Linked DNA regions of Sus scrofa. The protein of the gene in region 3 interacts with the protein of the main gene of each other region in a pairwise test. Links are inferred from orthologs where the notes say so. Each region holds a gene or a part of one and is shown on either strand. Other genes may lie near its edges.

Region 1 (3,743 bases), on a different chromosome or scaffold from region 3:
TGCGTGGCCTGCTGTGGCCACATGACCCACACAGGTTGCAAGTTCACCTGTGGGGACAAAAGGCAAAGGAGGGCAGGGCTGGGAATCCCAGAGCTGGATCACTGAAACTCTCAGGCCAGACATCCGGGGCCACAGTGGGGCTGAGGCAAAAGCGTCCTCACCCTACTCACCTGTGTGCCTCTGATCAGCCTCCTCCATCTCCCCGGGGCTGAGTGCTGTGGGGCCCTGGGGGAGGGAACCTGGAGGGAGCAGAGTGAAGTACGGATCCTGCTCAGCTGAACTCCTGGAGCCCCAGCCCCAGCTGAGAGACCACGTTACAGCATGCGTGCCAGGCAGTGAGGGGCTTACCTGGGGTAGGGCTGGAGGAGGCCAACTGGTTCTGGCTCCAGAGGCCTTTGTGGAGGTTCAGGGACAGTGGGATCCTGGGAGTTGGATGGGGAAGGGTTACAGCCCTGGCTGCACCTGGCATCCTGGCCAAGCCCTTTCTGGGGAGGGAAATGTCAGGAGTCCTCTGCTGGGGCTGAACTTTGGCTTTCCCTGTGGCAGGAGCTTCCTGACCACTCTCCAGCTCAGAAAGTGTATAGTGGAGATGAGAGATATGGTGCCCTTCCACCCCTCACCGCTGCCTGTCCGCAGCCGCTCCCTCCCAGCTGGAGGTCTTCCATAGGCCCTTCAACTCACCTCTGGTCCTGAGGCCAGACCTCTTGCCAGGCTCCAGTGATGGGGGTGCTATGGGAGAAGGGAGTGCCATATCTGGGCGGCAATAGCAGGATGCTCCACAGGGCAGGCAGGCCCTCCCCCAACCAGGGGGCCTCAGCCCACCAGGGCCTAGGGGTGATGCCGGTTTGGAGGGGACCTGATGGGGGAAGGGGGCCAGGGAGCTCCCGCAGATTTTCCTCAGAGCCCCCTGGACCATCCCTCACCCGCATGATCATTTCTTGCTTCCCATGGCCAGTGGGGGCTTGGTTAAGTTTCTCCTTTAGTCTCATCTGTTCCCTTTGACCCTCCCAAGTTGTCTCTGCCATCTCAGGGCTCTCTCTTGGTCGCCTGTGCCTGTGCAATGTCTCCTGTTCTTGCTCACCAGCTCTAAAGAACATCTCTGCTCTCTGGTTCTCTCCAAAGCCCTCCACTCCTCTCAGAGAATCCCCTATGGGTTGCTCTGGTTCCTTCTGTTGTTCCTTCAGCCTTGGACCCAGCTCGTCTTTGGCAGGGTCCCTTTGAGCCCTCCTGCACGCCTCTTCCAGGGACTGTACCCCCAACACTCTGGCTGCCTCCTCAAGGGGGCCCAGTTCCCCAGGTTGCAGCTCTAGACTCTCCCCATAAACAAAGTGCAGAAGTTGGGCAAAGGTAGAAGGGCTGATGCCTTTTCCCACAGCCCAGCAGCCCCTGCGGCCCAGCTGCTGGCTCACACCTGCCAGCACCAGGCTGTGGGCAGGGAACTCCTGGCTCCCCACTGTGATCAGGGTATCACATAGTGCTGGCCGGAGCCTGGCTGCTAGCCGTACCAGCCGATCAGAGCCATAGGGACTAGGCAGTCTTGTCGGGGACAGGGGCATTTTGCCTTGCCTGGGTACCAATCTCAGAGGTTCTGAGAGAAGGGCCACAGTGTGGGGTCCATGGTAGAAAGGGGAGGGAGGAACAGCATATTCTCAAGCCTGTGGAGGTGAGGGGAGAAAGAGTGAGTGGTCTGAATCCGAACTCTCTGTCCTGAGGGGAGCAAATGGACTAACCCAAGAGAGGACCTGAGCTTCTCTGGAACCATAACAGGGTGGGGGTGGTGGGAGAATGGCTGTTAGACCAAATTCAGGACTTAGAGAGCAAGGGCCAGACGGTTAAGAACTGTATCAAGCAGTGGGGTGAAGACCAGAATAGACGGGTCCTGCCAGCTGGCAACGTCTGACTTAAAGGAAGCAGACATGGATACTGCGGCTTCTCCAAGCTCCTCTGCAGGGAAAGACCTCTGAGTAGGCCAGGCGCCCCTCATTCCAGACAGAGAGAGCACCACGAAACCCAGTCAGCCCTGGAAGTTAGGGATGGAGCAAGATACAGCTTCAGGAGAAAGTTCAGTATGTCCCCCTGCTGCAAGCCCATCAGGCGGAGCTGAGGGTCCCGAGAGGAAGAAAGGGCAGCAAGGCAGGGGTCGTAGCCACAGGAGGGCAGGCTCTCAGGCATCAATCGATCATCTCCCTGAGGCCCAAAACTTCTAGAACCCATCCTCAGAGAAGGAACTGGAAGAGACCAAAGAATCCCATGCAGTGAGTTAAGAGAGGAGGTCAGAAGCCACAGGAGACAAGGCTCCTCGCTCAAGGATGGAGAGACCTTGCAGAAGCCTTGACCCCTGAGGAAGGGGAGAAAGGGAAATGGGAACTATAGAGGGAGAGGCCATTTCCTCTCAAGATTAGGTAGGGAGATGATGCAATTTTGTTTTTTATAAGCCAATAGTGAAGAGTAGAAAGACAGACCCCAACAAGGCAGAAGTTTATCACACATCAAAACCACCACTTTGGACTTTAAGAAAACTGGGAACTCAGAAACAGAGGGACAGACCTAAGTGTGCCACTGCCCAGCAGGCGTATTCCTGGGTGTGGGCTCACCGTGAGTATGGACCCTATAGGAGGGAGGGTTACTGCTTGGCTACCTTGGGGAGAGGGCCACAGGGTGGCAGGAAGTGGACCGAAAGGGAGCTGTAATAGAAGGAAAGTCTCAGCTGGGGAGAGGCCACCACTCACCGGTTGTAGCTTCCTCCTGGACACCGCATGCTCTGAACTGATGTTGGGGCTCCTGTTCCCCACCCTCACCCCCCACCCCCCCCACCCCCGAGCTAGCCCCGCCTCTGACCTCACAGCCTTCCATTGGGTGTCCCAAGTATCAGTCTGCCACAATCCCCCAAGGGGTGTGGTTTTAAACCCCTGGCTCCACTTCACCCTTCCAGGAGAGACCATGGCTCTACTCCCAGAACCCAGGCATTGTCTCCTAACCTCCTGTCTTCTTATTCATTTGTGAACTCCTAGAGTCATAGAAGGGTCTCTGAAGCAATAAGAACTTGGGGATAATCAAACCAGCATTTGACTCTCATCTTTGCCATTTACTGGTTGAGTCACCTTGGGCAAGTCACCTCTCTGAGCCTCAGTTACCTCACCCATGAAATAAGGATCACCTCTGCTTACCACAGTTGGAGGTGGCGGGAAGATGACATGATGAATGTGAAAGTGGTTTCTCGGTACCTCGCATCGCTCAGATAGTATTAGTTCTGTTTCTCAGAGGTGTCAAGAGAGCTCTAGCAGCTGGAAGCTGTTTCTACTTCCTCAGAAGTAAAAAGGACTGAAACATCTGGATTCCAAGGAGAGTGTGAAGGAGGACCCAAGGCATGTCTCCGGCTCCCTCTCCCTGCCTTGGTACTAGCAAAGCCCTGACTGCTTTGTGGGAATGACCCCTGCCATCTGAGCCACCACTGGGAACTGGCTGTGTGAGTGACTCAGATCCTCCTATCAGGCTGTGAAGGGGGCAACCCCAGGAAGGGCCTGCGGTGGTCTTCGAAGAGAAAAAACTCCTTTTCTTGGGTTGATGACAAATGACATTTCTCTGAAATCAGGACTCTGGGGTTTCTTTCACTTCCTGCCTAGGGGGTGAAGGTCCTCAGAGATTTCCCCTCTTTTCACACTGTAGCACTCCTTAACCTGGGGAAAAGATGAGGTCTGAGAGACTCACATTTCTTTTTCTGTTTCTTATTATTTCATCATTCC
Region 2 (3,728 bases), on a different chromosome or scaffold from region 3:
CGGAATCAGTGAATCAGCCGTCTCAGGATGAGAGAGAACCCTTTTTATGGAAAGCCTCTTCTCCAAGTACAGACAGAATTCAGACAGATTCTTTAATCCACATCTGCTGCCCTCCTCAACCCTTAGACTGGAGTGGTTCTATCCCCTCCACCACCCCGCCCTCCTCCCTGACAGGCAGGGGAGGATATTTCTCCCAATTAGTGGGAATAATCCTCAGGTTCATAGGGCAAAGGCTGCCCTAGAGACAAAGGCACTGGTGTTGAGAAGCTGCAGTTCTTCCTGAATGGCGTGTCCAGCGTCCTGATGTTACTGACGCCCTGGAGGACAGACCCAGAATGAGGACAGACCCAGCTCTCAAGCCAGAACAGAGCAGCCTCTCCCCTTCTGCGCCCCCTCCCCCCAAACACCTGGTCCCTCTCACATACCGGTAGCTGCGGTGCCCTCTGTATCCAGAAGGTTTCAGGCTGCTCAGTACGGTAGTCATGAGGCTGTGAGGGAGAGATATGGAATAACTCTTGGCTTGAAGCTCCCTCTCTCAACCTCTGGGCCTGCTGCTCTCCCATAGGCTGTCAGGGCCCAGCTGGCCAAGTGGGGTGGGGTAGGTTCTTACCCTTGTTGGAGTAGGAGGCCCTGCATGCACCAGCTCCTTTCTGTAGTCATGATGTGTCACAGACTCGACCTCAGAGTCCTTCCTTGTGGCTTCCTGCTCTGCCTGCACCTCTTTACTACACAGGCCTGGGGAGTGTCAAGGCCATTTTCCCTTGATTTTTGTCCTCCCCCTCCCCTTTCCCAACTGCACCCAGTTTCTCACCAGATCTGGTGGCGCAAGAACATCTCCAGCATGGCTTCACGCTTCCCTGTGGGAGGTCAGGGAATGGACAGAGTGGGGGGGAATCTGGTTAAGACACAGGCCCCAAAGAAAACTATTTGGGAAAAGGAAGGAGAATCAGGTTTTGCCCTTACATCCATCAGACAATCCATAGTCCCACCCGATATTCCTTCCTCTCCTTTTTTCTCTCATGGACTCGTTCTGGTCCGTTCTCTCATACTTCGTACCTCGGACTGGCTGAGAGTGGTTTCCTGGGGGCTGGTATGAATCTTTCTGGGTGGTTCTGGAGGACATGGGTGACTGTGGCCACAAGGTCAGCAGCCCCTGGTGTCCATGTCGGAAAAAGAAACTCTCAGAGCCATCTTGCATGCTTGGGACTTGATCCAGGTGGTTGGTGGCTCTCTGTGGGTCCCAAGTAGAATGACCATGATATCCTTTCTGGTACCCACCCTCATCAACTGGGGGCAGCTTTCAAGCAGAGAGAGCAGGTCAAAACCTTAATACCTCCTCCTCCCAGTTGTAGAGAAGGCACTGGCCCCGTGGCAGTGTTTCACTGGGTATCTTACTCTTCCCTTCAACCTCAGAGGGCTTCCAGTGTCCTCGGGTGCCAGGTTCTGATACTTGCAAAAATTTCCAGGGTTGTTTCTGAGGCTCCCAGTGGCTGTCGTGACTCCAGGAGGCATAATTAGGGACCAGATCTGCCCTTGGGTTTCTGAAGCCTGGAGGAGCAGAGGAGCTGAACCCAGGGTCATGGCCACAGCCTGGACTATGCCTAGAATCAGAGGCAGGACCGGGACCAGTGCCTTCACCAGATCTACCACCAGGGCCTGGACCAGAGCCACCACCAGGACCAGAACTGGTGCCAGGACCAGGACTAGAGCTGGAGCCAGGAACAGGGCCAGAGCTGGAGCCAGGAACAGGGTCAGAGCTGGAGCCAGGAACAGGGCCTTGGCTAGAGATAGGATCATTTGCAGTGTAGGAATTTCGAGCAATATGGGAGACCTGGACAGGCTCAAAGCCAAGTCTCCCATGGCCTATCTTGTGGGTAAATCTGGGGGTGGTGTGGTGCGCCGCAGTAAGATTGTCAGAGAAGGGCTCCAGGAGAAGGCTCCGTTCTGAGTAGGGCGCTGGGGTCTGTGTAGATAATGCAGCTGCCTTGGCAGTGGAGGCAGCTGCAGTGGCTGCAGCAGCTGCTGAGGCTGCTGCAGTTGCAGCTGCCAGAGCCGACCTATGACGGCCATCCAAAGAAGGCAAGGGATCTGAAGTGGTCCCTAGTTCTTCGGAGCTAGGCTGTTCGTCTAAAGAGCTGAAAAAAAGTGAAAAAGGCAAAGTCGTCAAAAGGGCAGCGGGGGAAGTCCACTGACCTTCCTTGTCCCCTTATGCCTGCAGCCAGAGCTGCAGATCTCACCGCGATGGCGATAGCTCTGTGGAGTCAGTGGTTTCCATCTTGCGACACTCGCTACTGGGTACTGCGTTGCTATAGAGACGGCAAACCATTCCAGGAGACTGCGCAGAACTAGAGCTGGGCGGACGTGGAGGGCGGGGGTGGGGGTGGGGGTGGGGGTGGGGGTGGGGGTGGAGGCAAGTTCTCTGCGGGGCGGAAGTCTTGAATCTGGTGCACTCTGGGAAGTGCGCTTTCCATCCGGCCTGGCTGCTAAGATTCGCCGGCCTAAGGTCTCGCCCTTCATACCCGCGCAGGACTTTTGGAGGCTTTCTAAAGTGGTTCTTTGTGTTGAATACAGGCACAGTGCTGTGGAATCAGACAAAAGCCTACTTGATGTGTTTCTACAAGGGACAATGGTAGCTTCCCCTAATTTCATTCTCAAAAGTGGGGCATCTTTTTAAAATTTTTAAGGTGGAAAATACATCAGACAACAGCTTAAACAGAATGGTGAGACATGGGGCAGCAGATGTTTTGAGTGTGATAACTTCTCCAATGAAAGGCCCTCACCTTGACCCTCCTCCTTCCAGACCCCCTTATAACTTGGCTTGGTATCTGAATTGAGCAAGTCTTGGGATACTGGCTTTACTTATTCAGGCACATTCTTAGAACTGCTGCTTTTCTAGAAGTTTAACCCAGGTGGACCATGAGTCATGAACTCATAGATACACAGGCAAGTGCTCCTTTGACTGCATCATGGGCTTCCTTAGTGTTTCAGACCATAGTCAAGGGGGATCAAAGTCTTGAATCAGTTTTCTTTTCTATTTGAGGTATAAATCTTTATATATTTAAGACAGGGATCCAGAATTGAGGGAGAACAAGTTTATTGGCATCATTGGGTCCTGTTATTTCCCTACCCCGTCCAAGCATCCAAGTCTGGGGTCCTTGGTCCTTTGGTAGGTTCAACCTGGAGGCCACTGGAGCTGTCTGCCCCCAAGTACATGAATGTGCAGGTGATACACAGACTGTGCACCCAGCTTCCCATCGTTGATCACTGAAATGGTGCGTCGGGTTAGGGGGTTAAGATGGTCAAAGAATGAAGATCATATTGAGAGGTTAGATCAATTGATGGTGAGGGGCTCAAGGGCCAAATGTCACTCACCAAGTCGGTATCCATCTCCCAGTCCTTCAGCCTTTGCTGTCTTCTTTGCCACAAGGAGAAGGTGTCCTAAAAGCTACAGGGAAAGGGGAGGGAGACAGGTGGCTTCATTTACAGGGAACAAAACCTTTCCCTCAGCCAAACCCTGGCCCTGTTCTTCCCACCTGCTGGTCTTCTTCTTCAGCCTGGCTAATCCGGGGAATGGGCTTCTTAGGAATGACCAGGAAGTGCACAGGAGCCTGAGGGGCCACATCACGGAATACAAGACACTGGGAGCAGTGAACATGCCAGAGGCCACCATGTTAGTTCAACAAACTGGATGGTATTTATGAAATTCTTAAGGGGATGGGTCCTAAGGG
Region 3 (3,743 bases):
TCCCGCCAGGGGCCCTGGAATTGTCCCCATTAGAAAGAGCCCGCCCGTGCCGGATATCAGTAGTCACCTCTGGCCCGGCTTGTCTGGGAGAAGAGCCCAGGAGTTGGAGCCCTGGGCCTAGGTCCTAGCTGGGCAGGGCCTGCTCTCACAGCTCGGCTCCTGCTCGATCCCTACTGCTGATGTCACTGGCGAATGTACATTTTTAGGGTTCTTGGAGTTCTAAGCCAGAGGGGAGCTCTGCTTTTCTAGGCAGAGGGTCAGATCTTTCTAGCCCGAAGTTGAAGTTATCCGGTTGGCAGGGCGAGAGCCAGGAAGTGGTTTGCAGGCTCTCCACCCTCTTTTCCCCAGGGCTGTGTGGGAGTCCCACCGGGCAGGCACTGCACCGCCGGTTCTCGGCCTCAGCTCCAGGCCCCACGTCTCAAGGCCCAGAAAATCCCTCTGGCGGCAGCCGAGCAGGCCAGACCCACAGGCTCTAAGTGACCCTGGGGCTCTGCCTCTCTCTCTTTGAAGCTACACAAAACACATGCAGTCATAGAAACATCGAAGCATAAAGAAAAAGAATTTAAAAACAAAACACAGAAGCCTAGGAAAGCTCACAGCTCTATGCCTAAAAACATTAGAAAGGGTCACACACTCTTAAAAATAGGCAGGTAGAAACACAGCAAATGCAAATTAAGAAGCCAGAAACCTCCGTGCAAACACATCCCTAACTAAATACAGTGCTGTACGTGTATAAACTCCAGGCAGACACCGGCATTTATTTATCTGGGACTTAAAAAAAAATCAAGGTACTGTTGTAGATAGTTTTTTTTAACCCCTTCCCAAATAATGCTCTTCTAGAGGTAATTTTTAAATCCCAGAGAAATACAACACTCTAGTTAGATAAATTCCCCAAATCACACCCCTGTAAATGGACTTTGAGAAAATCCCGGACAAACGCGCCATTTTGGATTGAATTTTTAAAATGTCTCGAAGAATAACGTTGCATGCAGATATTTTAAAATTCCGGAGAAATGTACTTAGGATAGCAATTCTTTCTATACTGAAAAATACAGTTAAATTTTAAAGTTTATCCTCATAGACTTGGTTGTTAAAAGCAATCTGTAACGATTTCTCTGAGCTTTAACAATAAAAACCAACCCAAGCCCACGCCTAAAACTTTTGAAAACAAAAGTACAGTCCAGCGCTGCTTACTTTTTAACCAAGCAACAGAACCTCTCAGAGAAAGTCACTTAGGGATGCAAAACAGAAACAAATAGAGATTAAAAACGCGTAGAGAAACACTCAGCGGTGGATTAAGAAATGAACGCAGAAGAGGCGCCCGTAGCCGAGAGAGCAGGGAGCTGGGCGGCGGCGCGGAGTCAAGACCGCGAGCGATTCCGAGACTCGGGAGCCGGGACCGGGCCGGGTACTAACCTCGCCACGGCCCGCGCCGCCCATCGCCGGCCCAGCAGCGGCCGGGGAATAAAGCTCGAGCCGGGACAAAAAGGTAGCGCGGAGGGAGACGTGCCTGAGCCGAGCCGGAGACCTGGCTGGGCGGCCTGGCGGCTCCGGGCTCCGGCGGCGCACGTGGGGCCGGGATCCCTGGCTTAGGGGGTCCTCGCCGGAGCCGGGCCGAGCCCCTTGGCCCGCTCGCCCTCGCTGTCCTCTCCTTTTCTGTGACCTTAGGTTGTTTCTCTTACTCCCTGTTTGCTTTTCTCACTTTTCCCGCCACCCCTGCTCTTGGGTCTCTCCCTCTCGCAGTCAGTCGCCCACGGTGTGTCGGGGTGTCAGTACTCTGCTTTCCTGGGCACTTTCTTTCGCCCACCGCCCCATTCCTTTCTGATCTGCTCTTCGCCTTCGGTCTGAGCGACCCGGGTCACCCAATTTCCTCCCCCACCCCCGCCCCGTTCTATTTGCTCCTGATCAAGAGGGGCTGTCAGTCCGACTCTCCGGTCGTAGGTTTATGCATCTGCCGGTCACTTGGCGCGTGGGGATCTCATGGAACTGTTTTCGGAAAGCACTAGATTTCTGTTTCTGAAAGTGTGTACATTTCCGCGTTCACCCTCAGGTACAAAACGGGAAAAGGAAAGATCCCGACGCTCCTGGGGTGTAGAGCGAGCCTGCCTGCGCGGCGCGGGTGCCAGGCCCTGCTCCTGGCTCCCTGCGCCCTCCTGCGGAGTAGGCTCCGTGCGCGCCTCGCAGACAGCCGCGCTTACCTGGCAGCTCCGTGTCGGACGACTCGCTGGCGGAGTTCTCGAGAGGCTCGCGGGGGTCGGCAGCGCGGGCTAGGTGGAAGGCGGGCCCCATGTCGTGCGGCGGCGGCGGCGGCGGCCGGAGCCCCTCCGGCAGCCGCTCCAGACTCATGCCCCCCTTGAAGGCGTCCATGGAAGCGGGGACCGTGGCGGGCGCTCCGGGGGCCGGGGCTGGGGGCACCCGGCCGCCCTGGCTGCGACCTGCGAGAACGAGAGCGCAGCGTCTAAGCGGCTGCCCCCCAGGGCTGCCCGCGCCCGCAACGACGCCGCGCCCGCCCCATGGACCGCCCGGGGCTGCGGGGCCAGGCGGGCGGCAGCGGCAGCGGTTTCTCGCGACCGGGGGCCCGGCTTCGCGCTCCGCGCTGCGCTCCCGCCGCTCGGGCCTCAGCCGCCCGCCCGGCCCCGGCTCCGGCTCCCGATCCGGGGCCGGTTTCTAAGGCTCCGGACCGCGCCGGCAGAGCCTGTCTTAAAGCGACAGCGCGCACCGCCAGGTTCCAGCAGTCCCTGCGCCAGGGGTGGTGGGTGGGGTGGGCCGGGGTGGGAGGGGGCAGGGAGGGAGGGAGGGAGGGAGGGAGGAAAGGAGCAGCGAGCGAGGGAGCGCGGGCGGAATCCAGCCCCGAGCCGCCCGCGCCGCCGCGCCCTCTCGGCCGCCCGCCCTCCCTCCCTCCCTCCCGGCCTCACCCGCGCCCTCCCCCTCCGCAGCCACCTTCCCGCCGCCTCCCCCCTCCCGCGGCCTCGCCGCGCCTCACCCTCCTTCCCCCCGGTGACACACCGAGTTCTCCCTCGGCCGCACAAAAGAAACGCATCTGGCCTGCAAGCCCCTCGCGGCTCGTGCCCACCTCAAGCCCCAAATGACTTGTTTCGCTCGAAATCAACTCCAGTCTGGGCCGCCTCGAAGTCCCGAGTCCCCGGCGAGAACAGCCCAGGCCGAGTGAATGTTCACCGAACAGGATCGCACCGACCGGTCGCCGGCGAGCCAGCGCCAGGGCGGGGGCAGAGCCCGGGGCTCGTTCCGGCAGCTCCCAGCCGCGTCCTCGTCCAGGGGCCGCCGGCCCCTCCTTTCCCGGCCTCTTCTCCCGGGACCCGAGCCAGGCTGAGTGACAGCAGCCCGCGCTCTAATGGGCCCCCGGATGCTGCCTCCTAATTAGCTTGGACCCTCTCCCCCAAGGCGGCTTGCTTCTCAGGCCTCCCCCCTCTGCACCACAGTCAATTTTCCGGGATTGGGATAGAACTGATGGCTTCTAATCAGACGAAACGTTTCTGTTGGCTCCAGGCCGCTGGCGAGTGCAGCAGGAGACCCCAAGAGCCCTGCCAGGCCCCACATCCCCTTCGAGAGGACTCTCTCCTTGTTTCGCCCTTTCAGAGGGCTCACCGAATCTGCCTGGCTCTGGCCGTGGCAACCACGGGGTGGGCCTCTGACCCCCTTCAGGGCAGGTTCCCAGGGCCTGGGACCTCACTTTGGCTGCCCAGAACTGCAGGCATAGACCTGGCAGGCCAGGTGACTACAGT

The links.
Region 1: the proteins of PITX1 (region 3) and ZBTB32 interact in a two-hybrid assay, tested with the Homo sapiens proteins (2 studies listed by BioGRID). The link is inferred for Sus scrofa from reciprocal best matches to the Homo sapiens genes PITX1 and ZBTB32.
Region 2: the proteins of PITX1 (region 3) and SPAG8 interact in binary tests that used the Homo sapiens proteins (3 or more experiments, as listed by UniProt). The link is inferred for Sus scrofa from reciprocal best matches to the Homo sapiens genes PITX1 and SPAG8.

The regions. Positions count from the first base shown.
Region 1 is NC_010448.4:45,141,289-45,145,031, reverse strand, and holds the start of ZBTB32 (zinc finger and BTB domain-containing protein 32), read right to left. Parts: upstream 2,793-3,743; 5' UTR 2,759-2,792; coding exon of another isoform or gene 2,730-2,758; intron 2,724-2,729; exon of another isoform or gene 1,656-2,723; 5' UTR 1,557-1,655; coding exon 682-1,556; intron 486-681; coding exon 349-485; intron 240-348; coding exon 171-239; intron 48-170; coding exon 1-47. UniProt on the Homo sapiens protein: DNA-binding protein that binds to the to a 5'-TGTACAGTGT-3' core sequence. May function as a transcriptional transactivator and transcriptional repressor. Probably exerts its repressor effect by preventing GATA3 from binding to DNA.
Region 2 is NC_010443.5:236,529,239-236,532,966, forward strand, and holds the start of SPAG8 (sperm-associated antigen 8), read right to left. Parts: upstream 2,944-3,728; 5' UTR 2,327-2,943; coding exon 2,238-2,326; intron 2,136-2,237; coding exon 1,334-2,135; intron 1,232-1,333; coding exon 1,057-1,231; intron 858-1,056; coding exon 812-857; intron 726-811; coding exon 611-725; intron 489-610; coding exon 426-488; intron 318-425; coding exon 198-317; 3' UTR 1-197. Other genes in the region: HINT2 (histidine triad nucleotide-binding protein 2, mitochondrial isoform 1 precursor), read right to left, coding at 3,173-3,264, 3,373-3,445, 3,534-3,638. UniProt on the Homo sapiens protein: Microtubule inner protein (MIP) part of the dynein-decorated doublet microtubules (DMTs) in cilia axoneme, which is required for motile cilia beating.
Region 3 is NC_010444.4:137,204,306-137,208,048, forward strand, and holds the start of PITX1 (pituitary homeobox 1), read right to left. Parts: upstream 2,368-3,743; coding exon 2,199-2,367; intron 1-2,198. UniProt on the Homo sapiens protein: Sequence-specific transcription factor that binds gene promoters and activates their transcription. May play a role in the development of anterior structures, and in particular, the brain and facies and in specifying the identity or structure of hindlimb.